Anolis sagrei: one gene and its partners. The protein of the gene in region 2 interacts with the protein of the main gene of each other region in a pairwise test. Links are inferred from orthologs where the notes say so. Each region holds a gene or a part of one and is shown on either strand. Other genes may lie near its edges.

Evidence for each region.
Region 1: the proteins of TRIM59 (region 2) and ZDHHC22 interact in binary tests that used the Homo sapiens proteins (3 or more experiments, as listed by UniProt). The link is inferred for Anolis sagrei from reciprocal best matches to the Homo sapiens genes TRIM59 and ZDHHC22.
Region 3: the proteins of TRIM59 (region 2) and VTI1B interact in binary tests that used the Homo sapiens proteins (3 or more experiments, as listed by UniProt). The two-hybrid records come from large-scale screens. The link is inferred for Anolis sagrei from reciprocal best matches to the Homo sapiens genes TRIM59 and VTI1B.
Region 4: the proteins of TRIM59 (region 2) and NRM interact in binary tests that used the Homo sapiens proteins (3 or more experiments, as listed by UniProt). The two-hybrid records come from large-scale screens. The link is inferred for Anolis sagrei from reciprocal best matches to the Homo sapiens genes TRIM59 and NRM.

What each region holds. Positions count from the first base shown.
Region 1 is NC_090021.1:306,659,855-306,667,520, reverse strand, and holds the start of ZDHHC22 (palmitoyltransferase ZDHHC22), read left to right. Parts: upstream 1-4,656; 5' UTR 4,657-5,091; intron 5,092-6,526; exon of another isoform or gene 6,527-6,970; intron 6,971-7,129; exon of another isoform or gene 7,130-7,176; intron 7,177-7,666. UniProt on the Homo sapiens protein: Palmitoyltransferase that could catalyze the addition of palmitate onto various protein substrates and be involved in a variety of cellular processes. Catalyzes the palmitoylation of KCNMA1, regulating localization of KCNMA1 to the plasma membrane.
Region 2 is NC_090023.1:246,768,182-246,775,831, forward strand, and holds the start of TRIM59 (tripartite motif-containing protein 59), read right to left. Parts: upstream 3,018-7,650; 5' UTR 2,965-3,017; coding exon 2,962-2,964; intron 1-2,961. UniProt on the Homo sapiens protein: E3 ubiquitin ligase involved in different processes such as development and immune response. Serves as a negative regulator for innate immune signaling pathways by suppressing RLR-induced activation of IRF3/7 and NF-kappa-B via interaction with adapter ECSIT.
Region 3 is NC_090021.1:281,960,359-281,967,671, reverse strand, and holds the start of VTI1B (vesicle transport through interaction with t-SNAREs homolog 1B), read right to left. Parts: upstream 3,015-7,313; 5' UTR 2,959-3,014; coding exon 2,841-2,958; intron 1-2,840. UniProt on the Homo sapiens protein: V-SNARE that mediates vesicle transport pathways through interactions with t-SNAREs on the target membrane. These interactions are proposed to mediate aspects of the specificity of vesicle trafficking and to promote fusion of the lipid bilayers.
Region 4 is NC_090022.1:24,012,239-24,019,852, forward strand, and holds the start of NRM (nurim), read right to left. Parts: upstream 3,014-7,614; 5' UTR 2,958-3,013; coding exon 2,819-2,957; intron 1-2,818.

The DNA of each region.
Region 1 (7,666 bases), on a different chromosome or scaffold from region 2:
TCTCACTTGGCACATAGAACTCCCATGATCAACAAAACATACATGAGGGCTATGGGGGAAATTCGTCTTGATTTATAGGAATTATAGTTCAAACAATGATGGATCTGCACCAAATCTGCCACACATACCCAATATGCTAAAATTTGAATTCTGGTGGGTTTTGGGAGGAATTGGCCTTGACATTTGTTAGTTGTAGGTACTGGGATTTATAGTTCACCTGTAATCAAAGAACACTCTGCACCTCAACGACTATGGTCTTGGACCTAACTTGGCACACAGAATCCCCATCACCAACTGAACATACTGGAGGGATTTGATGGGACTGACCCACCATGGTGAGAGTCGTAATTCATCCTCCAGCCAGAAAGCACACTGAACCCCACCGATGATGTGAAAACTTGCCCAATATGACAAACTTTAAGTATTAATGGAGTTTCAGGAGGTTAACCTGGCATGTTGTGAATTGTAAACTTACCCAACATGATGAACTTTTAGTATTGCTGGAGTTTCAGGAGATTGACCTGGCATGATGTGAGTTATAGTACACCCACGATTGTAAAATGTCTGAATGTATCTCCTTCTATGAACCATCTTGGAGGTTAAGATCTTCTGGGGAGGCACTGCTTTAGGTTCTACCTGCTTTGCAAAGGTGGTTGGTGGGGACAAGACTCAAGGCCTTCTCAGTGGTGGCTCCTTGGCTCTGGAACTCTCTCCCCAATGAGATTAGATCAGTGCTCTCCCTCCTGTTCTTCAGAAAGAAATCAAAGAGATGGTTATGGGACCAAGCCTTTGATTAGTAAAGTAATGCAGTACAAGAAATAAATATGATATATGTGCAATCGAGATTTGGAATTGCCCTGGTCTATGAGTTTGGATCATGTGATTTTAATGTTTATATTAGGTGGTTTTAATTTCTATGTTTTCATGTCTGAATGTTGTTTTGTCTTATGTTTAATTATCTTATTGATTTTAATGCATAGTTATATGTTTTGTTTAGATTTATGATTTGGTTTTATATGTATGTGAGGCATTTAATTTTGCCATTATTTCTTGTAAACCTCATTGAGTTCCCCCTGGGATGAGAAAAGCAGTATATAAATACAGTAAATAAAATAAAATAAAATAAAACCACTTCTTCTAATCATCTGGGAAATGCTGGGTACCCAAGCTAGTATACAATAAAAAAAGCCCTGTGAAGGATTTAGAAAGTATATATCTGAGCATAGAAAGAATCTTGATTGCATGGTTGCACAGGCTACCAATCAATAACAAAAATAAAAGAAGATAAAAGCAGCGATTTGAGAGCATTTTGCTCTGAAGTCAGTGGAAGTTTTTAGTAAAAATGGTACAGGGAAGGAAAATGATATTCAAATTGTAAGAGGCTGTTAATTAAAGCCAAAAAGGGATGATTTGTTTAATGAGGATAAAAGTGGAAGTAATGAGGCTTGTTTGCAGGAAGGTCTGTCAAACAGCATTTTCCAGTGTCTATGTTTGGTTGTGAAAGCAGGACAATGGGGAAAGCGTATAGGAAGAGAATCAATTCATTTGAAATGCAGCACTGGCAAAGAGTTCTATGGATACTGGCTCACTAAAAAGAGAAATAAATGGATCCTGGAGCAATCAAGCCTGAACTCTCTCCAGAAGCCAAGCCGGTTAAACTGACACTGTCATACTTTGACAATATCATGAGAAGACATGACTCACTAGAAAAGATAAGAAGGCTTGGTAAAGTAGTAGGCAGTAGGACAATAAGAAGACGGCATTACAAAAAGATAGATTCAATTAAAGAACCTGGGGCAATAAACCTGAAACAGCAGGGCTGTTGAAGCTACAGTGACTTGGAGGTCATAGGTCAAAGTCACCTTGAGGGCAGTAAACAACAACAAATGCTAAACAGCAGGAAAACATTCCAGCTACAGAAACACTCTGGCACTAGATCAGGCTGCTTTGGGAGTCCATGGGACCCCTTTCCTCTATAGCTGTCTTGAAACCCTAGGAAAAGGGGAGGCACTGGAATGGTAAACTAAATGCCAGCATTTTACATGTCCATTTTGAAATTCAGGACTTGTAATCTTAAGGTGAAAAGTCATTTACCATTACGAAATGGTAAGCGTGAACAAAGTGTAGCACTCCAAATATGATTTGACTGAATCATCCGGGAATCCTCAACATTGGCTAGGCTGCTAGGGTTGATGGGAGCTACAATCCAACAGCACTTGTGAAATGGCACTTTCTCAGTAAGGATGTAATTGCTTGTTGGCACACTTGACTTTCCTTCGTCTCACACACACGTGTGTGCATACAATCACTGCAAGAGGTTAGCTTTAAGCAATTGCAAAATTAATATTTCGTCTTCATTCTCTAATATTGTCTGTGCAAGATCTAGCACTATATTTATGAGTTTCTATTTCTCAGAGTCTGTATGGTAAGCCATAAGTCTTTTGTGTGTGGATTTGTATAGGAAGAATTCATTAGCTGATCAAGGGCAGACCTTCCAAGTAAAATGAACAGATTCTGTTTGGTTATTGATTTCTTATTTCCATCGATACAGTAATGCAATGTTTTCTTCAGCTGGATAATTCAGTATAGTTGAGTCACATACTAACCTGGTCAGTCATGTCCGGGAGTGTTGTATGAAGATCTCTATAACCATAAAGGCAATTATTATCCTATTCAGGTGTAAGTTTTGGAGCAGGCAGTCCACTTAATGATTAAATTAGGCTTCTAAAAATCCTCCTCCTCACTCCAAGGGCTTTCACAATGAAAGTAAAAAGTTACAGAGAAGAACAACAATTTATGAGGTGTCTCTCTCTGATCACACTAGGGCCATTGAGGGAGGGCTATATCGATAGTAGAATATTTTCTATATATACATGTAGAAGATTGCAGGTTCAATCCTTGGCCTCCCCAGCTAGTAGGATCACATAGCAAATATTGCAATAAGCCCTCTGATTGGGACCTTGGAAAGCTGTAGCCAGTTCATGGTTTGATGGACCAGTAATCTTCCTCAGTATTGCCCTCCATATGCTCTTGACTCACAGTACACATCAGATCAGGACAATTGTGTGAGATTATGGGAGCTGCAGTTCCACTCAACATCTGCAGAACCACACCTGTCCATTTCTATGGTATAAGGGAGAGTGTAATAAATTTAAAATCCCTAAATCAAATCTGTTCTACCTACTTGGTCATATTAATTACTTGACTATTGTCACTTCAGAAGATGTTTCTCAAGAGTCACTGGGACTAGAACTATGCATCAATTGAACTGTGTGCTTCTGGGTTGTAGTACAAGGCTTCAGGTTCCACCTGAACATGAGGAAGAACTTCCTAATTCTGAGAGCTGTTCAACAATGGAACTCTCTGTCCCAAAGTATGGTGGAGGCGCCTTCTTTGGGAGAAATCTCGAAGGCAAGGTAGTCAAGATCACAGGCATGACTTAATGGATTGTGGACCTCAAATCAGAGAATTGTTTCCTTTAGAATTCAGATCAGGCAATGCTGCAAAAACAGTGAGGATCTCGAGCCTCATTTCTAGTTCATATTTAGGGTCTAAGATCTTGGGAGTTTGGATTCACGTTTTAAGAAGTTTCTATTGTGTTGTTTTTAGATTCATATTCATGTTTTAATTCATGTTTCCTGGATTTATGCTTATATTTTGATTCTGGTTTTCCTGTAGCTTGTTTTATGGAACAGATTTGGGCTGTTTGGATTATTACCTTTGGAGTGCTTTTTCTTATTGCCAGTTTGGTTTGGCTTATTACTTGTTGACTATTTTCTCCATTTCCTATTGGATTTTGCCTTTCTTATTTCTTAAGGTGACTTTCCCTTTTTATATGTATTTCTCCTCAATAAACTGTCTTACTGTCACTTTTGAATTTTTGGCTGATGATGAGGTCAAGGTGATTTCTGGGTGGGTTGCAACAATTTTTATTATTATCATCATGATTTCTATCCCAGCTTTCTCCTCATAGGAACTCAAGGTGGATCATAATAACATGACACAATAATAATATAGGGATGGATATAAACAAAAGAAATATTCATTTAGAACACTATCTGACTATCCCACTTCCATTACCCTTAAGAAGAATATATACTAGGGCTAGGTTTGAATAACTTGGTATTATGATTACTGTAACATCCCAAGAAGTAAGAGATTCTGTGTATGGGGAGAACAAACAGTGGAAGATATCGAACATTTCTTAATTGGCTGTCCAGCATATGCTGAACTGCGATACAGATATTTACATCCAATATTATCCAGCTGAAGGTCCCCCAATAAAAATGATCTTCTAACATTCATTTTGCAAGGACAAGAAAGATCCACCATAATCAGAGTAAGCCTTTTTATTCTGAAAGCTATCAAGAAAAGAGCACATTTCTTGAAAGAAGAACCAGGACAATAAGACTCTTGACTGTAAATAGAAGATCAGCTATTGCCCTCACCTTTTTGCCTTGTATTTTATTCATGTTGTATTTTGAAATGGTCATATGACTAGTCAAATAAATAAATAATAATTATTATTAATACAATTAAAATTACATTTAAAACTCACCAACCTTCCAAAATCCCACCCACAACCTTCCCAGCAATATTACCTCCCAAACATCTGGCAGCAAAGATAGGTTTTAAGCTGCTTGTAACAGGCAAGCAGAGATGGGGCCATCCTGATCTCCCTGGGGATGGCCATCAATGGGGAGTGCTTTGTAGTGCTCCTGCATGGCAGAGGGTTGGCCTGAATGCCCCTGGGGTTTCTTCCAACTCCATGATTCTCTGATCCCTCCAGGGAGGGCAGAGCTTGGGTTGGTGCTGCTGGTGCTGAAGGGACAGCTCCCTGCGGAGCACAAGCAAGCGCCTCCTTCCTCCGCTTCAGCACTAAGGAGGCGGACAGCTCCCCGCTTTAAAGGAAGGCGGATCCGCAGGCGCTACAGAAGGGCTCGGGATGAATGGCGAGTGTTGGGGGCTCTTTCAAAGATTTCTCCAAGGTTCACACTGCTGGAGGGAGAAAGAGAAAGAAAGGAAGAGACTGTCCTGAGGCTGGCCAACGCTGAAAGACACCGCAGCCCTTCCTCTGCTCCAGGCGCCCAGGTAAAGACGGTGTCGGGGACGCAGCAGCGAGAAACCCAGCAAAGGGAATGTATTGTCGAAGGCTTTCATGACTGGGTTGTTGTGAGTTTTCCGGGCTGTATGACCATGTTCCAGAAGCATTCTCTCCTGACCTTTCGCCTGCATCTATGGCAGAGATCCTCAGAGATTTTGAGGTCTGTTAGAAAGTAGGAAAATGAGGTTTATATCTGTGAAATATCCAGGGTGGGAGAAAGGACTCTCGTCTGTTGGAGATAGGTGTGAATGTTTCCATTGGCCACCTTGATTAGCATTTAATGACCTAGCGGTTTCAAGGTCTGGCTGCTTACTGCTCGGGGGAATCCTTTGTTGGGAACTGATTAGCTTGCCCAGATAGATTGTTTCTTGTCTGGAATTCCCCTGTTTTTGAGTGTTGTTCTTTATTTACTGTTACGATTTTAGAGTTTTTTTTAGAAATACCGATTAGCATTTAGCCTAGCAGTTTCAGGGTCTGGCTTCTTACTGCCTGAGGAAATCCTTTATTGATAGGTGATTAGCTGTTCCTGATGTGAGTTTTCTGGGCTATATGGCCAAGTTCCAGAAGCAATCTCTCCTAATGTTTTGCCTACACCTATGGCAGACATCCTCAGATGTTTTGACGTCTAGAATCATAGAATCATAGAGTTGGAAGAGAACTCATGAGCCATCCAGTCCAACCCCCTGCCAAAAAACAGGAAAATTGCATTCAAAGCACCCCCAACAGATGGCCATCCAGCCTCTGTTTAAAAGCTTCCAAAGAAGAAGCCTCCACCACCACACTCTGGGGCAGAGAGTTCCACTGCTGAACGGCTCTCACAGTTAGGAAGTTCTTCCTAATGTTCAGATGGAATCTCCTTTCTTGTAGTTTGAAGCCATTGTTCTGCGTCCTAGTCTCGAGGATAGCAGAAAACAAGCTTGCCCCCTCCTCCCTATGACTTCCTCTCACGTATTTATACATGGCTATCATATCTCCTCTCAGCCCTCTCTTCTTTAGGCTAAACATGCTCAGCTCTTTAAGCCGCTACTCATAGGGCTTGTTCTCCAGAACCTTGATAATTATAGTCGCCCTCCTCTGGAAACATTCCAGCTCGTCAATATCTCTTTTGAATTGTGGTGCCCAGAATTGGACACAATATTCCAGGTGTGGTCTTACCAAGGCATGACTTCCCTTCCTTTCTCAGAGAAATGCTTTTGGAACATGGCCATACCATCCGGAAAACTCGGAACAACCTCAGCAAGGAGACTTCAAGGTTATGGGCTGGTCCCACCAGTTGGGCGGATTGGGAGTTGGAATCTAGCGGGAGAAGGATCTCAGGTCCCGAAGCCTGGCAGCAGGAAGAAAGTGGAAAAAAGGAACTGGGGAAAAAGTTCCCCCGAGGGTTGTGATCCCGGGAGCAAGGTGTGCCAGGAGCGGGCCTCCTCCCCTTAAGGGCTGCGGCTCCTAAGTTTGGCCTTCTCGTCCGGAGAGAGCAAAGGAAGGCATGCCCTCAAAGCCCAGCCTGCCGCCGTAGCCCAGACTGCTTCCTTTGGTTGCCTGGTTTCACGGATTGGTTTTTTGGGAGAGACATTCCAGAGCAGAGAGGGAAAGGAGAGCGCGGGGGGAGAGGTTAGACTTGGAGGCGAACCTCCCTGTTTGGGTGCCTGCGCCCCGGCGGTGGGTGTGAGTGGGAGGCAATGTTTCGCGTTGAGTGACTGCGAGGCGATAGCACACACACACACACACACACACACGGAGAGACACAGAGACACGCACTCACACGTCCACGGAGGCGGAGGTCCTCCCAGCTGCACCGCTGGAAGCTGGACAAGCCCTTCACCCGCTGCTCTCCGCCTTCCCTTGCTTCTCAGGACAAGCGCCGACGAGGTAAATCAAGCCGGTTGCAGATGGAGGGCTTTCCGGGCGAAATTAGAGCATTGGAGGGTGTTTTATTTCTCTCTCTCCGTATTGCAGCGGATTAGAACAGCCACCCTGCGCTTCCTCCCCCCCTCCCTCCCTCCCGCCCTGGTGATACATAATCAATAACAACAACAGACACCAGCAACTCTGGGAAACGCAGAGCCTCCTCGGAAGTAAGCCTTGAGACGCGCAAGAGGGACTTGCTCCCAGGAAAGTCAGTCTCTTAGGCTGGGAGCAAGGGAAAGACGGGGAGAAGGGAGGCGATGCAACTGGCAGGGAGGCAGAGGACCCTAAAGACAAGCTTCGGAGATGGCTGAGAACCTGCCGACTTCTCTGGGGTTCCGATTTGAGGGTCTTGGGGGGCGAAAAGGAATGAGGTCTCCTTATCCCGAAGAGTTTGGTTTCCCGGTGTGAGGACCACTAAGCTGGGAAACGAAAGGTATATGTCTGGGTTGTTGTAGGTTTTTCGGGCCATGTTCCAGAAGCATTCTCTCCTGACGTTTCGCCTGCATCTATGACAGGCATTCTCAGAGGTTGTGAGGTCTGTTGGAACCTAGGAAAATGAGGTTTATATTGTCAGCATTGATGTATCGGTGTGTGTGTTTTCCGGGCTGTATGGCCATGTTTCAGAAGCATTCTCTCCTGACGTTTCGCCTGCATCTA
Region 2 (7,650 bases):
GGGATGCAGAAAACAAGCTTGCTCCCTCCTCCCTGTGGCTTCCTCTCACATATTTATACATGGCTATCATATCTCCTCTCAGCCTTCTCTTCTTCAGGCTAAACATGCCCAGCTCCTTAAGCCGCTCCTCATAGGGCTTGTTCTCCAGACCCTTGGACTTCGACTCCCAAAATTCCTAACACTATATAATCCAACTTCATTTGCATTTCCTAAAGATACATATTCACACAGCAAAGCTAATGCTTACCTATTTTGGCCCTTACCAAGAACCAGACTGACTCATTGTGAAGAGGACCTTTCCTGAAGCTACAACCAGGGGAAGTGTGTGAGAGAAACTGTGGCAATGACTGATGTCACAATGGACACAACATCACAGCTTAGTATGACATAAGACAATAGAAGAGCTCAGTGCTGATCCTTTTTGTTTGTTTGGAAATACAAAATAGAGATGGATCCTGCTGTTATTTCAAAGGCCACACAATTCATGAAAAATGTTTTGAAGCTGGGATTTTATCCATTCATATTTACACAACTAATTACCTACCTTACCAAGAACCAGATTGACTCATTGTGAAGAGGATCTTTCCTGAAGCTACAAAACTCTATACGGTTCCGGCCCAGCGTATCTGTCCGAACGTATCTCCATCTACGTCCCACCTCGGAGTTTAAGATCTTCCGGGGAGGCCCTGCTCTCGACCCCGCCTCTATCACAAGTGAGATTGGCGGGGACGAGGAGCAGGGCCTTCTCGGTGGTGGCCCCTCACCTGTGGAATTCACTCCCTGGGGAAATTAGATCATCGTCATCCCTCCTTTCCTTTAGAAGGAAATTAAAGACATGGATTTGGGACCAGGCGTTTGGGCAATCTGGCAGATAAATAAAGGACAATGACGACCGATAGGAATGGAAAATGTGGAATGAAATTATGGACTCTTGAGTTGCAAACGCTGAGCATAAGATTGGTTTTTATTGACTGTGATATATATTGATTGTTTTAACTGTTATAACTGTTTTAATTGCTGTCTATATTTTATCTGTATTACTGTGTAGGCATCGAATTGTGCCTTTTTGTAAGTCGCCCTGAGTCCCCCCTCGGGGGTTGAGAAGGGCGCGGTATAAGTACACGAAATAAATAAATAAATACAACCAGTAGAAGAACTAGTGGAAGTGTGAATTTGAGCTTTTTACAGAGGCTGAATGAATGGCCATCTGTTGGGAATGCTTTGATTGTGTATTTATTTATTTATTTAGGGTGTGGCGCAGCTGGCTGAGTGTTAGCTACATTAAGATCACTCTGACCAAAAGGTCATGAGTTCGAAGCCAGCCCGGGTTGGAGGGGTTTCCAACCAATTGTGTGTAGCCTGTTGTCGACCTTTGCAATCTGAAAGACAGCTGCATCTGTCAAGTAGGAAAATTAGGAAACACCTTAAAGTGTGGGGTGGCTAAATTAACTGATTTATGAGGCCATAAAGAAGACTCCAGCAAAGCATTCCAGCGGGGGAAGCATGCGGGGAATGCGGAAGTGCTTCATCAGCGTCGCAGATGGACGATGAAAGCGACAGCACCCCGGGCGGCCAGAAAAAGTTAAATAGCCTCTGTGTATGTCTGTATATGTTTGTATGTCAAAAATTGGCATTGAATGTTTGCCATATATGTGTACACTGTAATCCACCCTGAGTCCCCTGCGGGGTGAGAAGGGTGGAATATAAAAGCTGTGAATAAACAAATAAATAAACCCCACCCTTCTCTACCCCGGGGGGGGGGGGGGGGGGCTCAGGGCGGCTTCTAGCCAGCACATATTTGATGCCGACAAGCAACACAACAGAACACACATAAAAACAATAATTATAAATAGTTAAAAACATTAGATTAATATGATAAAGTCTACTAAAAAGAAAGTCGGTCTGGTGGCCATTGTTCCGTCAAGTCCTGTAATTGAAAACTTGTCCATAAACCGTTTCCATAGCTGTTGTCGTCATTGTTGTCATCAGGTCTGCAAGCTTACCCAAAGGCCTGACCCCACAACCACATTTTTAATTTCCTTCTAAAGGAGAAGAGGGATGAAGTGCCTCTAGTGTTGCTGTGAGAAGGTCCTCCATTGTACAAGTGACAGGGTGGTCGTTGTAGTAGGTGGCCTGTGGTTTGCTCTTCTCCACGCTCACATCTCATGGACTCCACTTTGTAACCCCATTTCTTAAGGTTGGCTCTGCATCTCGTGGTGCCAGAGAGCGGCCTGTTTAGCACCTTCCAGATTGCCAATTCTTCTGTGTGCCCAGGGGGTATCTCCTCTTCTATCAGCCACTGGGGAACTCTCGATGGCAACAGGACTGCTGACCAATAGGTCAGCAGTTAGAATCTGGGGAAAGTGGGTTGAGCTCCCTTTATCAGCTACAGCTCCTTATGCAGGGACATGAGAGAAACCTAGCACAAGGGTGGTAAAAGAAAACATCTGGGCGTCTGCAACATCCTTGCATACAGCCAATTCTCTCACACTGGAAGCAACTTGCAGTTTCTCAAGTTACTCCTGACACGAAAAATTAAAAAAGCCACTGGGGGACATGACAGAAGCCTCCTCGCAGGATTACACATCCAGGTGTCCCTTGGGCAACATCTTTGTAGACGGCTGATTCTCTCATACCAGAAGCGACTTGCAGTATGTATCCAAATAAACATCAAACCACAGTGAACCATTATGACCAAAATGGAGAAGTGCAGCTTATTGAAAACTGATTAACCACACTTTACTAACCACAATTTGAAATTGGTTTGGATTTAAAACATTAATCCACAGTTCCCAATTTAACACTTGCTGTTGTTTGCAACAGCAAATCCTTAAATGTTGTTAAATCAAACTAGGACACTATGAAATAGAGGTGCAAGATTCCCGATTCATTCCTGGCTGCTGAATTAGTTTAACAAGTGGGAAACTGACTGCGCAAACTAGGTCAGTATCATATACTCACCATTTTCACTCCTTTCTCTTTAAGTGGCTGTAGCAATTTTCTGATGAATCCTAAGCAAACAAGTCTGAACAGAACATGCCTTCGACTGTTCCAAGCACAACACAGAGCACCCCCTCTCCTGGATGCTTAAGGAAAAAGCATCTCAACAAGGCCAGTAATTACATTGTGGGTCATTTATTGATGGACAATGTGACCACCATCTGTTTCACAGACAATCCTCGAGTCTTTATCAGTGAATGGCCTCATGTATATTTTCTCTATGGACATCAGTATTTATAATTTACTGATTGAGGATGAATGCAAAACTGAAACATACTAAGAGATGTCTCCTAAAGTAACATTGAAAAAACAAACAATGATATAAATTTGTCAATGTGTCATAAATAATGATATACTTATCTTTCCAGAATACATAAACATCTGCTTATCCTGATAAAATTAAATTTAGGTTTTACAGCCTGTCATGTAAACATCTGGGATATGTCTGGAATTGTGTCTGGAAAGTTAAAAACTTCCTTCATGCAGCTGTATGAATATTCTCAAAATATCCCCCCCCCCTTTTAAAAATTCTTTTATTTCTGTCTCAACAGTTTTTCTTTGCTGTTAGCCCATGAGAAAAGTTGCTGAAGTTTGGTTATTTATTTACAGTGAAAGGAGTATTCTTCAGCATAGTTACATGATTTTTTCAAGGTTTCCTTTCTTCCATGCCTTGTTTTTTTTTGTCAGTCTTGTCTGCATACCACATGGTCAAGCCATATTCCATGTTATCATCACAACAATCCTTAATAGGAATGACTTATTAACTTGAGAACAATGAGGTGAAATAGAGATATAAACATGTCTCCAACTTTCTACACATTATATCACACTTGGCCCAACCCATGCTATTTTCTCCAGCATAAAAATGTCATTTTAGAACTGCAAAATAATGTTTCCCACTTTTTCAATTGACTAACATACATCTTGTTTTATAATCCATTGCAATCAATCTATTTGGGTATTAATCAAATGTATTTTCATTAATGTTAACAGGATTAAAATATGAAACCAAATCAATGATGGATCAAATGGTATGTAACCAAGTTCACTTCTGTGGGAAAAATAATACACATCATTCCAATTTTGATGCCTTTATTAATATTTATTTATTTATTTAGAACACTTGAATCCTGTCCTATTCTCGACCTCCGAAGAGGGACTCAGGGTGGCTTCCAACAATATGAAAACACCAATAAATACACAATTAAATAAAAAAGATAATAAATATACATTAATATGAATTTTAGCAGCATTTTTATATAATATCCATCTTAGACATGATTGTGAAATCACAAACAACTATAGCCTTTGGACCTATTGATTTAATATATATTTTTACTATCATCTTAGACATTTATTTCTGTTTGAGCCCACTATCACCAACTGCATAAGGTTCAGCTCTGCTCTGGCCTTTATAAATTTATAGTCCTGTTATGTCTGGAGCACACAATTCTGATCTCATCACAAACATCCTGTGCTTTCTGAGATAAGGTCACTCATGCATGGGAAATTGCAACTTGTGTGTATTTTACCCAACACCTTCCAATCTGATCAATCAGGAAGATTCTGCAGTAGCAGCTACTAGACCATAAGAATAAGGCCCCTTCTACACTGCCATATAATCCAGGTAAAAGCAGATAAATCTGGATGCCAATGGACCCAAATTGATCAACCTTCAGACTTCCTTATGCAGAAAATGATGAAGGTAAAACTATTCATTCAAGTAGCTAATAAATTATTACATCACTTTTATTTATTAGTAATTAATATAATTTTATTGTGTCTCATTAATCCATTTTTTTGTCATTGTGTTTATACTTTTTCAATTAATTTTGTTGTCCATCACCTTAATTCCAAGTGTGGCTGGGAAAATTAGGATATAAGTAAAATCTAACACTTGAGCCCAGTAAAAATGAATATTGTAACAGATTTCCCAGAAATTCAGGACATAAGACAATAAATCATCTCGATTCCTCTGCATGTGTTTACACTTTACATAGAAATGTTGTGCAAATAAATGAGTTCACAGATGGCAACAATGTTAATGATCTTAGTGGGACTTGTTAAATAGTTGTGTTCAAAAGTGAAAAGTAACACTACTTGTATTAAGCACACTTTGTGTAGTGACAGATGCATTTCTTTGAAACATGTTTACCATGATCAGCCAGAAGGGGCTGGAGGGGCTCCTTCTTTGGAGGCTTTTAAACAGAGGCTGGATGACCATCTGTCGGGCATGCTTTGAATATGAATTTCCTGCTTCTTGGCAGGGGGTTGGACTGGATGGTCCACAATGTCTCTTCCAACTCTATAATTCTATGAGAGTGAAGACAAAGATCCACCCAGAGGAAAAGTGTTCTTGCCATACACCAAGGGAACCACTGACCACATAATGAAGACGATGAAGAAACACAACCTATAAACAATCTTCAAACGCACTAAGAAAATCCAATGAATGCTACATTCAGCAAAGGACAAGAGGGCGCCTCTCGCCTCTGCAGGAGTCTACCGTATACTATGCAGCTGTGGACAAATCTACATAGGAACCACCAAACGCAGCATTGCCCAAACACAAATCAAGGAACATGAAAGGCACTGAAAAGTAATTCAACCAGAGAAGTCAGCCATAGCAGAGCACCTGATGAACCAACCTGGACACAGTATATTATTTGAGAACACAAAAATGCTGGACCACTCTAACAACCACCATGTCAGACTACACAGAGAAGCCACTGAAATTCACAAGCATGTGGACAATTTCAACAGAAAGGAAGAAATCATGAAAATGAACAAAAACTGGCTACCAGTATTTTAAAAAACCCCTGAAATCGGGATAATAAATAAAGAACAACACTCAGAAAACAGGCGAATTCCAGACAGGAAATAATCAGGGCCAGCTAACACCTCCCAACTAAAAATTCCACAGGCAGTAAGCAGCCAGGCTTTGAAGCTGCAAGGCTATTCAATGCTAATAAAGCTGGCTAATGGCAATATTCACACTTGCCTCAAGCAGACAAGAGTTCTTTCTCTCACCCTGGACCTTATTCCACAGATATATAAACCCCACTTGCCTAGCTTCCAACAAACCTCACAACCTCTGAGGATGCCTGCCATAGATGTGGACAAAACATCAGGAGAGAATGCTTCTGGAACATGACCATACAGCCCAAAAAAACTCACAGCAAGCCAAAGAACAACGCTTGGTCCTTAAAAAAATTGACCTAACTTGGGCCATCTACAGTGGTCATTTGATACAGATGGAAGCTATCTTCAAACTGTGGTGGCCAGATAACAAACTTCCACAATAGAGAGACAAAGAACACCCATAATGCCCACCAGTGCTTTGTGGTTTGTGTAATCACCATGCCGGCCTTAAATTGGTTCCAGGATTTACTATGTAATCATCTGCATCGGAAAATCTGTCTTCAATAACCGCATTACTTGGTCAATATAGATGGAGGCCTTGTCACTCTAAAATAGATTTTCCTGACCTAACCTGGACAACTTCAAATCAGACTTCACTGACTTGACTTAGACCCTCTATTTCTACAAAAAGAGAAAAAAGTGACCCCTTCAAATATCTCTTATAACACTTTCAAAATAAAGTGCGTTCTCAATCTAAATAATTCATGGCATTTTGGAAATACCTTCATTTGCCCTAAAGCCTATTTGATCTGCCAGCTGTGACAATTCCAAAACTTTAACTGGCATTTCATGAGGTGAGGGTGACTTTTGTGTTATTTAGATCAGGCATGGGCAAGCTTGGGCCCTCTAGGTGTTTTGGACTGCAACTCCCACAATTCCTAACAGCCTACCGGCTGTTAGGAATTGTGGGAGCTGCAGTCCAAAACACCTGGAGGGCCCAAGCTTGCCCATGCCTGATCTAATGGATTCAATGGGCCTATTGTTTATTTAGGCCCTTGACTAAGTTTAGGAAACCCCAGTGATCTTTTTCTGCAGTGCAGATCCATGCTGAAGTGCCTTTAAGATCGGGATAATAATACTAATAAAAAAATCCCTGAATAGTAAAGTTATCATGTAAACAAGGAAGAAATTTGGTGGGGAAAGCCTTCCCCACTTGGCAGGTTTGTGAGACTGAAATTTGGTGGCAGGGAAAAGCCTTCCCTGTTTCTGAGGGTGATATTTGGTGGGAAAAAACCCACTTCGCAGGCTTCATAGGGCAATGTTTGGCAAGAGGGAAAACCGTTTCCCATTTGGCAGGCTTCTGAGAGCAAAATTTGGCGGGAAAAGCCCTCCCCGTGGGTGAAATTTGGCAGGAAATGTTCTCCCCTCTTGGCAAGCTTCTGAGGGCAAAATTTGGTGTGAGGGAAAAGCCTTCCCCGCTTGGCAAGCTTCTGAGGGCGCTGGAAAAAAGCCTTCCCTACTTGGTAGGCTTCTGAGAGCAAATTTTGGTGGGGAAAGCCTTCCTCTCGAGCCAAATTTGGCAAGAAAAGCGTTCCTTGCTTGGCAGATTTCTGAGAGTGAAATTTGGCAGCAGAGAAAAGTCCTCCTGCTGAGCGAAATTTGGCGGGAAAAGCCTTCCCCATCTAGGAGGTTTCTAAGAGCAAAATCTGGTGGGTACAGCTCTCCCTGGGAGCGAAATTGGGTGGGAGGGAAACGCTTCCCTCTTGGAAGGCTTCCGAAGTGAAATTT
Region 3 (7,313 bases), on a different chromosome or scaffold from region 2:
GATATTTTACATTACAATTCATAACAGTAGCAAAATTACAGTTATAACGTAGCAACAAAAATAATTTTATGGTTGGGGGTCACCATAACACGAGGAACTGTATTTAGGGGTCACGGCATTAGAAAGGTTGAGAACCACTGCTTTATGACAATCACTTTTGACTGTCAAATGTTCTTTAAGTCCTTATAACAGAGCTTTTCAAACTTTGTGTTGCCTCACATCAAAGTGTTGGTTGCAGTGTGTAGGTGTGTTGTGTGAATGTAAAACGAAATGACACAAATCTTAGAACTGTGTGTTATCTTACAAATCATATATTTTTAAATATATAAATGAAAGGTTTTCCTGAAATATTTTGTGTCTTTCTACATTTCATCATTCCAATTAATAAATCTGTCCACATTTCTTTGAAGGGGCTGGTTTAACCTCTAGTTTGCTAGTAAAACTGACTTACCGCCTTGTGAAATGATACATATCTAAAAGGTGTGTGCCCAGCATGACATGGTTGGGAAGCTCTGTCTTATAACAATGCTGTACCAGTGAAGGGCCTTATCACGCTCCCACTTGAGTGGCATTGTTCCACTGTACCTGCCATGGCAACATCCTATGGAATCCTGGGATTACCAGTGAAGGAGGGGACTTTAGGATTCCTAGTCAGAGAGGTCTGGTACCTCAATAAACTGCAAAGGCCCACAGGATTGCAACTAACAGTGCTGTAACAGCGTAGGGCCTTCTTACACCACACTGTTATACTCATATGTACTCAAGTCTAATGCGCCATCGAATCTAATGCGGACCTCAATTTTCAAAACCCTGAAACCAAAAAAAAAAAAAAAAAGTATTTGCTGGCGAATGTAATGCGAAGTGACAAAAGTGCACTCTTTGTAATTTGGCCAAAGAAGGTCTGCTGTGCACTTATAATTCCTTCTTTAAAAACAAAAGTGTTAGAACACCAAAGCTTTAAGCAATGGAACCTTGGGGTGCCTCTATGCTGTAGAATGAAGCACTTTAACTGCCCTAGCTCAATGCTATAGAGTGACTGGAATGTCAAAGAATGCTAATTCCTCACCAAACTATAAATCCCAACATTGCATAGCATTGAGCCATGGGAATTAAATTAGAGATGATGTCCCTCAAATAGGAGCTCCAGGTGCTCCTGAAATAGCTTCGCCTTTAGCTTTGATTCAGCACAAAAAATCATATTACATGAATCTAATGCACACCCGAATTTTGGGAAGGTAATTTAGCCAAACCAGGTGGGCATTCGATTTCAATGAAATACAGTAGTTCTAAAGCAGTGGTTCCCAACCTTTGGTACTCCAGGTGTTTTGGGGACTTCAGCTCCTGCAATTCCTAACAGCTTGTAAAATGGCTAGGATTTCTGGGAATTGGAAATCCAAAACACCTGGAGAACCAAAGGTTGGGAACCACTGTTCTACAGTATTATAGTACTATTATGGAGACCCTGGTGGCGCAGTGGGTTAAAGCACTGTGCTGGCAGGACTGAAGACTGACAGGTTGCAGGTTCGAATCCAGGGAGAGACAGATGAGCTCCCTCTACTAGCTCCAGCTCCTCATGCGAGGACATGAGAGAAGCCTCCCACAAGGATGATAAAACATCAATAATCATCTAGGCGTCCCCTGGGCAACGTCCTTGCAGACGGCCAATTCTCTCACAACAGGAGCAGTTGCTCCTGACATGACAAAAAAAAATAGTACTATTATTCCAGTTTAACTGACCTGTTTCCATCTGCTGTTTAGGAAGTGCTGTTTAGAATGCAGCCAGAGAGCTCTGGGGCCTCACACTACAAAACCCAGAATTCCACGAGATGTTGCCATAGTAATTAGAATAGAATACTTGTGCTACAATCGTATACAATTGGAGATTATCACACTACATTTTTAAAGCAGGCATGGGCAAACTTGGGACCTACAGGTGTTTTGGACTTCAACTCCCATAGTCCTAACTGCCTGTTAGGACTTGTGAGTGTTGGAGTCCAAAACAGCTGGTCAACGTCTGCCCATCCCTACTTTAAAGCGTGGGCATCTCTTTAAATCCTATGGCTGCCTCTTGCATAGTTCTGGGGTTTGCAATGTAATAAGGATAAGGATCTCTCTGGCAGAGGGTTGTAAAGGCGCAGGTAAGTAGCCAGGGGGGGGGGGGGGGCTTGGGGGGCTTTAGCCCCCTCCCCTGAAATTCTCATGGTGGTTCGCGAAAAGGCCTTACTGGTGCATTATTTAAACTGTTATGTTTATTCATATCATGATCTGATCACCGTGCTCAATATATCCCATATGCATGGGGGTATTGGAGTAACGATACAAAAGGTTTGCTAGCGTAGACCCTCTTTCACTGACTCAGCCCCCCCCCCAAAACAAACTCAGCCCCCCCACCCGAATCGAAATCCTGGCTACAGGCCTGTAAAGGCCCCTCCCTAAAGTGCCAATCCCAGGATTTCAGAGGAGGCAGCCAGTGGGTTTAAAGTGGGATACTAACCCTTTAGAAGTGTAGTGTGACCATCCTCACTGCATTATTATAGCGCAGGCATGGGCAAACTTCGGGCCTCCAGGTGTTTTGGACCTCAACTCCCACAACTCCTCACAGCCTGTTAAGGACTTGTGGGAGCTGAAGTCCAAAACACCTGGAGGGCCGAAGTTTGCCCACGTCTGGTATGACCTCGTGGGTGACGGCCCTTTTCAGGCTACTTCAGTAAAATTCCGGCTGTTAGGAATTGTGGGAGTTGGGAGTTCAAAACCCCCGAAGTGTGCCCAGGCCTCATCTGTCCCCTCCTTCTTCCCCGCCTCCAAGGCTCCGGCCCGAGGGCCCTTCCTTCTTCACGTACCGACCGCCTGGCTCCCGCGCAGCCTCTCCGGCCCAGCTCGCAACTCCTCGTGGAGGCCGCGGAAGATTTCGTGCAGCCGCTCCAGGTGCTCCGAAGAGCCGCTGCCGCGACCCTCCATAGCGCCGGCCTCCCGAAACAGGCCCCTGCCGCTTCCCGACAGGCACTTCCGGCCCCTGCACCGGAAGAGGGGCCCGGCACACCGCCCAGAAACACCCACGAGCGCAGCGGAACAGCGCCCCCTTCGCCCTGGAGGGCCTCATTACGCCAGGAAACAGGCATAAGCAAACCTCGACCCTCCAGGTGTTTTGGACTTCAACTCCCACAATTCCTAACAGCCAGAATTGCACCGGGACTGTGGCGCAGCTGGCTGGGAGTCAGCTGCATTAAGATCACTACTGACCAAAAGGTCATGAGTTGGAAGCCAGCCCAGGTCGGAGTGAGCATCCGACCAATTTGTGTAGCTTGCTGTCAACCTTTGCAGCTCGAAAGACAGTTGCATCTGTCAAGTAGGAAATTTAGGTACTGCGTACGCGGGGAGGCTAATTTAACTAATTTATGATACCATAAAAATCTCCAGCAAGAATGCAAAGAATAAGGAAGTACTTCATCAGTGTCACAAATGGACGGTGAAGCAACAGCTCCCCTGGTGGCCAGAATACCCTCATCAAAAGCTGGAATGTTAAATAGCCTCTGTATATATGTGTTGTGTGTCTATGGCATGTATATGTACATTGTAATCCACCCTGAGTCCCCTGCGGGGTGAGAAGGGCGGAATATAAATACTGTAAATAAATATAAATAAATAAATGAAAGAACTCTTGTCTGCTAGAGGTACCTGTGAATGTTGCAATTTGCCACCTTGATTAGCATTTAATGGCCTGCAGTTTCAAGGCCTGGCTGGTTGCTGCCTGGGGGAATCCTTTGTCGGGAGCTGTTAGCTGGCCCTGATTGATTCTTGTCACACATACCTCAAGCAAACAAGAGTTCTTTCCCCCACGCTGAACACTCCACAGTTATATAAACCCCACTTACCAGTTTCCAACTGACCCCTCGACTTCTAAGGATGCCTGCCATAGATGTGGGCGAAATGTCAGGAGAGAATGCTTCTGGAACATGGCCATACATCCTGGAAAACTCACAGCAACCCATTGATTCCAGCCATGAAAACCTTCGAGAAAACATTATACAAACCGAGTTTAACGTCCCAGCCACAAGACAGGTTAAAAATATCAGGGGTAATGTGTTAGGGTAGAACTTCATTTAGCTCAGCCAATATAGATGATACCTTAACCATCATCAAAGGCCACCTTGAAGAGCTATGTCTTCAGGTCCCTCCAAAAAGACTGAATTGTGGTGGCTTGCCTGATTTCCTTGGGGAAGGTGTTCCAAAGCCAGGGGGCAACCACTGAGAAGGCCCTCTTCCTCATCCCCATCAGCCATATTTGAGATGGGGGCAGGACCGAGAGGACGGCCTCCCTGGCAGAGCTTAGAACCTGCACAGTTTCTTAGGAAGGCAATGGCAAACCCTCCAAAAAAAAACTTGGCAAGAAATCCCTGAGACAGGGCTGCCATAAACTGGAAGTGACTTAAAGGCATCCAACAAAAATATCTGAAATATTAAAGCAGATCTTCCTTTAAATATATTCCTGCCCTTGTTTCCCAATTGAGACCAGAAACAAGGAGATTATAACATAGCTTTATTTCTACAGACCGAACTTTGGGTTGTTCATTGCTGCTGAGGAAACCTTTAAATTCCATCATCAATTATCCTTACCAACTTTCCCCCTCCCATCTCTGTTGTGTTACCTGAACTCTTCTTAGTTCAGAACAACATATGTACAATATGATCCGTTGCACCAACTCACATACTGTCCTTTTAGAGAAATTTAAAATGGTATTTCTTTGTCCATATGAGAGACCTTCTTTCAGCAGCCAAAGAGCAAATCTGTCTGTCTCTCTGCAGCTGCATAGCTCGAGCCTGAACAAATGTGCAACAGTATCCAAAAGTTCCAGGCTCAGCCATCACCCTATGCATTGCCCAACCAATCAGCTTCATGCATGTTATTTTACAGTTTACACACACAGTTGTATTCTCCAGCAAGCTTCATGTAATGATTCTTACTTCGTAGGCCAAAGTAGGAGCCTGAGATGTCAGTAGGCAGGCCTCCATTTTGGGAGTTTAGGCAGAGGAGGCAGACATCTTGGGAGTGTAAAATGAGAAGAAGGGGAGGAGCTGGAGCTCCCTCTGGATTGATTAGGACAGATGGGAGGAGTTAAGCACAGAGAGGGGAAAGTGTCAGCTTGAGAGAGAGAAGAGAGATTGGTTTTGGGAACAGAGGAGAAGAAAGGTAGATTTTTGGTGAGCTTAGATTTTTCTGTGAGAGAGCATTTTGTGACAGGCAAGGCTGCATTATTGACCAAGAGGGTCAAAGTAGTTGCCTGGGTGCTTGTGTTGGTTTTTACACAAGTGGTTTGCTCTCTGGGTTAGAGTAGATTAGCTTTTAGAGGACTCTGCTTAGAGTGTAGCTAATTGCTCTGGGGACAACCTGGTTAGGTTTGTCTGGGGAACGCACTGCTGCTGTGTTGTAGAGTGAGGAGTTTTACTCATATCTAAGACAAGAAACTGTTTATAGTAACCATCAAGATTACTGTACTTTAGAAACCATTCAAGCTTGTGTGCCTCATTAAAGAAGATAGTTGTTTGTTCTGTATTATCAATAAGCATATTCTCTAGTTCAACTTTAAAGAAGCCTCAATAGTGATTCATTCCAGTGGGAATAATACTAGCTGTTTTACCATCTTTACTTCACAGTCATCTCAAGGAGCTTAAGGGAGAGCTGGTGGGCAAGGAAGAGGATTACCTCAGGGAATCATTCTTTAATTTCCCAAAGTATTTTGGGTGGTGGCAGCAAATCTACCAAAGTACATACATGTTACTTCACATATATATAAATGCTCTGTGCCAGAATCATATTCCATCATAGTTGTGTCTAGTTGTGGAATTGGTAACTATGATCCTTTAAACTGACGACCAGTGGCGTGATTTAAAATTTTTGAGTGTTCAGCGGTGGGATAGTAACTTTAAGGCTTGATCCAGTATGTTAGATCAAAAACCTGAGGTAAACGTTTGTCCCAAAGTGATCTGGAGGTACCTCAGAAACTGCCCAGAAACCCCATTTTGAAACCCTGTAGTGATGGCTCCACCTACAAATAAAAAGACCTCAGCAACTCCAGTAGGAGAGGAGAGGCAGGAGGCTGAGATGTTAGAGACTGTGACTGAAGAAAGGGTAGAGAGTCCAGAAATGGTGACTACCTCCCTAGAATTGGAAAAGATGAGAATGGAAATTGAACTTAGGAGGATGGAATTTGAGGCTGAGAAAATGAAACATAAGATTAGAGAGAAAGAGAGAATGATAGAAGCCAATGAGAGAGAGAGAGAAAAACAACTTGAGGCTGAGAGAATGAAACAGGAGGCTAGAGAGAAAGAAAGACAACTGGAGATTGAGAAAGAAAGGGAGAGAATGAAGCATGAAGAAGGGATGATGGAGTTGAAATTACAAGAAAGACAACCCACATCCAGTCCAAGTGAAACCCAATCTGAGCCATTAGCCTCTCAAATAAAGCATTTCCCAAAGTACTCAAGAGGGGACTGTGTGGAAAGTTTCCTCGCAAGTTTTGAAAGGACTTGCGCTGATTTTAAGGTGCTTGAGGAAAGAAAGATGGCACATATAAGGCCTTTGATATACACTGAGCTTAGTGAAAGATGTGCACAGTTAAGGGACACTGAGTGTACAAACTATGCTATATTTAAGGAAAGGGTGAAAGTGTGGAGCAAATTAGAAAGACTTTCAGAGAAATTAAAAGAAAGAATGGTGAAAAACCTATTCACAGGTGGGCTCTAGAATAGAAAAAGCTTTACAAAGGTGGCTTGAAGGCAGTAAAGTCTCCACATTTGACCAACTGAGGCATTTGGTTTGCTTAGAACAGTTTTACAAACTAGTTCCAGCCCAGATGAGGTGGTTTATAAAGGACAAGAGGATTCAAACGGTAGCAGAAGTGGCATCTGTTCTAGACGAAATGGAGGAAGACCTTGATGTAGGTTCCCCATTGTTTAGAAAGCCAAAGGAGTGGGTCCCAAAAGGAAGAGCTGACAGGGATGGTCAGAATCCTAGAAAGGGGAACACCAGCTCAGGAACTGCACCACGTAAAATCCTATGTTACCACTGTCATCAGGAAGGGCACGTTAAAGCCTCATGCCCAAAGGTGACAAATGCTAGACCTGTGGCCCCACCTAAGTACATCAAAGTGATTAAAAAGGTCCAGCCACTGACAGAAAATCCTGCTCCTCAAGAAGAACCGATTAAAATTATGAGAGTTTGGAGTATGGATAAGGGTGTGAGTAGAGATTACTTGGAGGAAGTTCAAGTAAATGAGGAAAAACTTATGAGTTTATGGGATACTGGCACAGAAGTG
Region 4 (7,614 bases), on a different chromosome or scaffold from region 2:
CTCAATGCTATGGAATTATGGAAGTTTTACAGGTCTTTAGCCCTCTCTGTCAAAGAGTGGTGGTAACTTACCAAACTACAACTCCCATGACTCCATAGCATTGAGCCATGGCAGTTAAAATGGTATCAAACTACATTAATTCTATAATGCAGACACATCCTAATACAGTTAATTTACTCATTTATTAACATTTTGCACTGCATCCAAAGAAGTTGCTTGATAGCAGGCATGGGGGAGGTCCCGATGGCACAATGGGTTAAACCCTTGTCCCAGCAGCACTGAAGATTGACTGGTCGGAGGTTCGAATCCAGGGAGAGCTCCCTTTGTCAGCTGTAGCAGAGAAACTTTCAACAACACTCACAACTTATGCCAGTATTTCAGTTGCACAGGGTCCAAAGCTATTAAGATGTTCCTAGATCATGATCAGCATGCAAAGAGATCTGGTGGCTATAAAGCTGCTTCTTTCATTTAGTCTCAAAGGTACTATGCTACCTATGCAAGTGCAGCATTCTTCCGAAGGAAGCAGGGAGTGTTTGAGAACCGGGACATCCGTAGGGAGCTATAGTCCTCCCAACCCCGCTATACGTCTGCGAGACGTGGACTGTCTACAGATGTCACACCCAACTCCTGGCATGATTCCATCAGCGCTGCCTTCGTAAAATCCTACAAATCTCTTGGGAAGACAAGCGGACAAATATCAGCATGCTGGAAGAAGCAAAGACCACCAACATTGAAGCAATGCTTCTCCGCCATCAAATCCACTGGACCAGCCACGTTGTTTGAATGCCTGATTACCATCTCCCAAAGCAGTTACTATACTCCCAACTCAAGAACAGGAATCGTAATGTTGGTGGACAGGAAAAGAGATTTAAAGATGGGCTTAAAGCCATCCTCAAAAACTGTGGCATACACATTGAGAACTGGGAAGTTCTGGACCTTGTGCGCTCTAGGTGGAGGTCAGCTGTGACCAGCAGTGCTGCAGAATCTGAAGAGGCATGAATGGAGGGCGAAAGGGAGAAACGTGCCAAGAGGAAGGTGTGTCAAGCCAACCCAGACCGGGACCTCCTTCCATCTGGAAACCGATATCCTCATTGCAGGAGAACATGCAGGTTAAGAATAGGGCTTCACAGACACCTACAGACCCACCGCCAAGACACCACATCTGGAAGACCATCATCCTCGAGCTATGAGGGATCGCCTAAGGAAAGGACAAGATCCCTTTGGTTTAGGGTAGCGATATTTTAACTGCCATGCTTCCATCCTATGGAACAATGGGAGCTGTAGTTTGACAAGGCCTTGAGCCTTCAAAGCTAAAGAGAGCTGGTCCGTCTCTCACCAAACTAGAAATCCTATTGAGCGTTCAGCCAGGGCAGGTTTTTTTTTAATTGTGACAGGAGCGACTTGAGAAACTGCAAGTCGCTTCTGGTATGAGAGAATTGTCTGTCTGCAAGGATGTTACCCAGGAGATGCCCGGATGATTTGATGTTTTTATCATCCTTGTGGGAGGCTTCTCTCATGTCCCCGCATGAGGAGCTGGAGCTGATAGAGGGAGCTCATCCGCCTCTCCCCGGATTCGAACCTGCGACCTGTTGGTCTTCAGTCCTGCCAGCACAGGGGTTTAACCCACTGCGCCACTGGGGCTCCTAGCCAGGGCAGTTAAAGTGGCACCAAACTGCATTTAATTTGACAGTGTTGATGCTTATGAGTCTTAATAATTATTTCTGTTTGAATGAGAATCAACAGAGAAGCGAAACCAATACGAAACATTGTGGGCAACATGTACACAGTGTTGCACAACAGGAAAATTACAATTTGGATGTGATCCATCCTTTGCATGCAATTGTGATGGGGAGGTTATGGTTGTAAAATAATATAACCTGCATCAATAGGAGTCTAGTGTCTTAATCCAGGGAAGTCATGCCCCCCCCCCCCTCTATTCTGCCTTGGTCAGACCACACCTGGAATAATAATAATAATAATAATAATAATAATAATAATAATAAATTGTGTCCAATTCTGGGCACCACAACTGAAGAGAGATATTGACAAGCTGGAATGTCTCCACAGAAAGAGGGCGACTAAAATGATCAAGAGTCTGGAAAACAAACCCTATGAGGAGTGGCTTAAAGAGCTGGGCATGTTTAGCCTGCAGAAGAGAACGCTGAGAGGAGACATGAGGGCTGTGTATAAATATGTGAAGGGAAGTCATAGGGAGGGGGGAGCAAGCTTGTTTTCTGCTTCCCTGGAGACTAGGACGCGGAACAATAGCTTCAAACTACAAGAAAGGAGATTCCATCTGAACATGAGGAAGAACTTCCTAACTGTGAGAGTCGTTCAGCAGTGGAACTCTCTGCCCTGGAGTGTGGTGGAGGCTCCTTCTTTGGAGGCTTTTAATCAGAGGCTGGATGGCCATCTGTCAGGGGTGATTTGAATGGCTTCAAACTACAGGAAAGGAGATTCCATCTGAACATTAGGAAGAACTTCCTGGCTGTGAGAGCTGTTCAGCAGTGGAACTCTCTGCCCCGGAGTGTGGTGGAGGCTTTGTCGTTGGACGCTTTTAAACAGAGGCTGGATGGCCATCTGTCGGGGGTGCTTTGAATGCAATATTCCTGCTTCTTGCCAGGGGGTTGGACTGGATGGCCCATGAGGTCTCTTCCAACTCTAGGATTCTATGATTCTAGGCTGCAAGTGGCTCTGAATCCACTTCTAAGGAGGTATGGGCCAACTTGGGCCCTCCAGGTGTTTTGGACTTCAACTCCCACAATTCCTAATGCCCCCTCCCTCCCCCTCCCTTTTTCCCACTCCCACGGACTCGCACCGGTTCTAGCTGGAGAAGTGGCTTCAGGCAGGAGAAGCCCCCGAAGGGAAACGAAGCGGATCAGCTCCACGCCGGTCCCGAAGGCGAAGAGGAAGCCGCCCAAGGCCGGGACCATCAGCAGGAGGGAAAGCGCGGCCATGGTAGGGGAGTGGGGAGGGGTGAGGCGTTTCTCCCGCCGCCTGCAGGCCCCGCCCCGCCGGGGGAGGGGCTTCCCCGGGATCCCCACCCTCTCTCCCCTGACGTCACACAGATCCACCCCCGCGAGAGGGCATTCCTTCCTGGTTGAAGCCTCCAGAGGGGGCTTTCCCCGCCTGCCTGCCTCCAGTGGGAGTGACGTCACGCGGGGTGAAGGCAGCGGGCCCCTCCTTTAGGAATCCCCACTCAGTCCACTCTGACGTCAGGAGCCATTTAGTGCACATCTCTCTGACGTCATATCAAGGCATTCTCCAGGGAGTTTGTTGTTTAGCCTTACAACTCTGTGTGTTTTATGAGTTCCATATAAATGCTCTGCTCCTATTTTATCTCATTATACAGGGTTAGTCAAAATGCATAGGCCAATAAGCCATTCAATTGAATGGCTTATTGGCCTATGCATTTTGACTAACCCTGTAGTTTGTTAACTGTTTTTATCCTGAATATGTGGCCCGCCCATTGACATCCTTACTGTGATTGTGTTTATTGGAATGTTTTATCTTATGATTTTTTTTCTCTTTTAATGTTATTTTGATAATGTTGTTGTTGTTTGCTGTATATGTTTTGATTTTATTGCTGTATTATGTTGTCCCAGCTTGGCCCCATCAAAGCCCCTCCGAGTCCCCATCGGGGAGATGGTGGCGGGGTAGAAATAAAGTTTATTATATTATCATATTATATTATTTTACTAGCCTATATACCCAGAACCCTTCTGAGTTGGAGATATTGGATATATAGATATTTATACATATTCTAGCCATCCCCTGCCACACGTTGTGTGGCCCAGTCTGTGTATATGTGTTTTGTGTGTGTATATATGTGTGTATATATGTGTTTGTGTGTATTATGGTTTTGTGCATGCGTTGTAATGTATTTTTTTGTGTTTGGGCTTTTTAAGTCTCTTCTGTTGTGTTTTTATGAGTGATGGTCACTTGTTGGCCTGACAGGTGTCTTGTGTCCAAATTTGGTGTCAATTCATCCAGTGGTTTTTGAGTTACGTTAATTCCACAAATGAACATATTTGTGTATATGTGTGTTTGTGTGTATAGATATTGTGTGTACTAGCCATCCCCTGCCATGTGTTGCTGTGGCCCAGTCTGTATATATGTGGTGTGTGTGTATATATATATGTGCGTATAGATATTTGTGTATATGTGGTTTTGTGCATGTGTTGAAATGCATTTTTAAATTTTGGCTTTTTAAGTCCCTTCAACTGTGTTTTCCAGTATTTCTATGAGCGATGGTCACTTGTTGGCCTGATAGGTGTATTGTGTCCAAATTTGGTGTCAATTCATCCAGTAGTTTTTGAGTTATGTTAATCCCACAAACGAACATTATATTTTTATTTATATAGATGTGGTTTTGTGCATACATTGTGATGTGTTTTGTTTTTTCTTTTTCTTTTTAAGTTTCTTCTGATGGTCACTCGTTGGCTTGACAGGTGTCTTGTGTCCAAATTTGGTGTCAATTCATCCAGTGGTTTTTGAGTTATGTTAATCCCACAAATGTACATATTTGTGTATATGTGTGTTTGTGTATATATATGTGTGTGTGGTTTTGTGCACGCGTTGTAATGTATTTTTTGTTTCTTTTTGCCTTTTTAAGTAACTTCTGCTGTGTTTTTCAATGTTTTTATGAGTGATGCTCACTCGTTGGTCTGACAGGTGTCTTGTGGCCAAATTTGGTGTCAATTCATCCAGTGGTTTTTGAGTTATGTTAATCCCACAAATGAACATTACATTTTTATTTATATAGATTGTATGTACATTACAAGCACTGAAATGTAGAAAACCCAGGTTCTCTCTGTATTAGGAAGCCAAGCTGACAGGACGAAAGGGATGCTGAAGGATCTGTGTCCAAGGCACAGGCAAGAGAGGAGTAAACATTCCAGCTGGGGGGAGATAAGAATGACCTGGTATGAACAGATAGAGGTAAAAAGTAAGGAATCTCCCTCCCTCCTGACAGATCAAAAGTAGGCCTCTTGATGAATAAGCTCAATCCTAGTTATCTCTATTGCTGTAAACTGCTTTAGAAAAAATATAGAGACTTGCCGCTTGCATGCAGGAAGATATAATTTGATATTTCTATGATGCAAAAGTGACACAGTGGTGAAATTAACATATGTGGAAGCATGTTCCTTTGTTTGCGAGCATTTGAAGATGTATAAAAGGGAAAGTCAACGCCTTTATCCTCGCTCTGGCTGCTTTTGGAGAAGATTCCACACCAGGGTCTCAGCTGGAAAAAAAACCTGTACTTTTCTGCCTCACACAAAGGGTCGCTCTTGGTATTATCTATCCTATCAGCCATAACACTTCTACACTGTCATATAGAATGCAGAAAAATGGCTTCAAACTACAAGAAAGGAGATTCCATCTGAAAGAAGAAAGGAGATTCCTACTTCATAACTGTATTCCTGCTTCTTGGCAGGGGGTTGGACTGGATGGCCCATGAGGTCTCTTCCAACTCTTTGATTCTATGATTCTATGAACATTAGGAAGAACTTCCTGACTGTGAGAGCTGTTCAGCAGTGGAACTCTCTGCCCCGGAGTGTGGTGAAGGCTTTGTCTTTGGAGGCTTTTAAGCAGAGGCTGGATGGCTATCTGTCGGGGGTGCTTTGAACGCGATTTTCCTGCTTCTTGGCAGGGGGTTGAACTGGATGTCCCACGAGATCTTTTCCAACTCTATGAGTCTATATTCCTCCTAATTTGGTGTCATCTGCAAACTTGATAAGCATGCCCTCTAAACCAGTGTTTCTCAGCCTTCCTAATGCCGCGACCCCTTAGTACAGTTCCTCATGTTGTGGTGACCCCCCTCCCCAACCATAACATTATTTTCGTTGCTACTTCATAACTGTAATTTTGCTACAGTTATGACTCATAATGCAAATATTCGATATGCAGGATGTATTTTCATTCACTGGACCTAATTTGGTACAAGTACCCGATACACCCAAATTTGGTGGGGTTGCGGGGGATTGATTTTGTCATTTGGGAGCTGTAGTTGCTGGGATTTATAGTTCACCTACAATGAAAGAACATTTTGAGCTCCACCAACGATGGTATTGAACCAAACTTGGCACACAGAATTCTCTTGACCAACAGAAAATACTGGAAGGGTTTGGTGGGCATTAACCTTGAGTTTGGGAGTTGTAGTTCACCTACATCCAGAGAGATCTGTGGATTCACACAATGATGGATCCGGACCAAACTTGGCACGGAAATTCAGTATGACCAAATTTGAACACTTTGATGATGACTCTTTTGGCATTGTTTTGCAACCAATTATGGATCAGATATCATCACATAAGTTTACAGAATGAAGCAGGCGCATTTGGTTTATGTTGCAAAAGAGTGTCATTATGATCAATTGAAGAAGCAAAAGGGCAAGCCTTGAGGATTAGTGAGGTATGTGATTCATCATGTCTGAAAATTAAGAATGCACTCACCATATAGCCTAGAATTAATATCTTGCTTAATACAGGTGTACTCTTTTTTTCTTCAAGTTTCAAGTTTTAGGAATAAACAAATTGAATGCAGTTAGGGGGGGAAAGGAGAACAACATTCAAAATAAAACAACAATTTAAATCCAACTTAATTTCAAGATCTAAATGTCAGTTTAACCTGAGCAGGTGCAAACATTTATTTCTATGCCTATTATTCAAATTTTGTTCCAGACAAGTTCAAATGACGTGGTTTCAAATTTTGTGTATATAATAAACTGACATCAAATGGAAGTCAATTTATTTGCCTCTTTGATACTCTTAGGGTCCTTCCAGACAGGCCCTATATCCCAGGATCTGATTCCAGGTTTTCTGTTTATCCCAGATTATCTGGCAGTGCGGACTCATATAATCCAGTTTAAAGAAGAAAACCTAGCATATAGGGTCTGTCTGGAAGGGCCTTTAGGTAGATATGAACCATTTGCAATTGTTACAAAACAATTCTGTCTCTAAATAATTAAATATTTAGAATTTCAAATAAAACGCACATTTTCAAAGTGTCCATATCCTGCTTTTTACATTAGAGTTTATTTATGTTTTGGCCAATCTAAATGGCGTCATTAGACAGCAAGTCCCAGCATTTAAAGTATATTTAATACGCATGTGTGTATGTATTTGTATGTGTGTGTGTATGGAGCCCCTGGTGGCGTAGCGGGTTAAACCTCTGAGCTGCTGAACTTGCTGACGGAAAGGTCGGTGGTTGAAATCCAGGGAGTGGGGTGAGCTCCTGCTGTTAGGTCCAGCTTCTGCAAGCCTATCAGTTTGAAAACATGCAAATGTGAGTAGATCAATAGGTACCGCTTTTCCAGGATGGTAATGGCACTCCATGCAGTCATGCCAGCCACATGACCTTGAAGATACCTACGGACAACGTCGGCTCTTCAGCTTAGAAATGGAGATGTATTATTTATTTATTTACCATATTTATAGCCCGCCTTTGTCAGCCCAAAGGTGACTCAAGATGGTTTAGTCAGCAATCAATGCCCCCAACAATATAACATATAATTAAAAACATAAACATTTAATATAAGCCATATAAAAACATTAGAAACCATAAAAACACAAGTCCTAAGCGTCTCATTACTAAAATAATTTTCCAGTCACT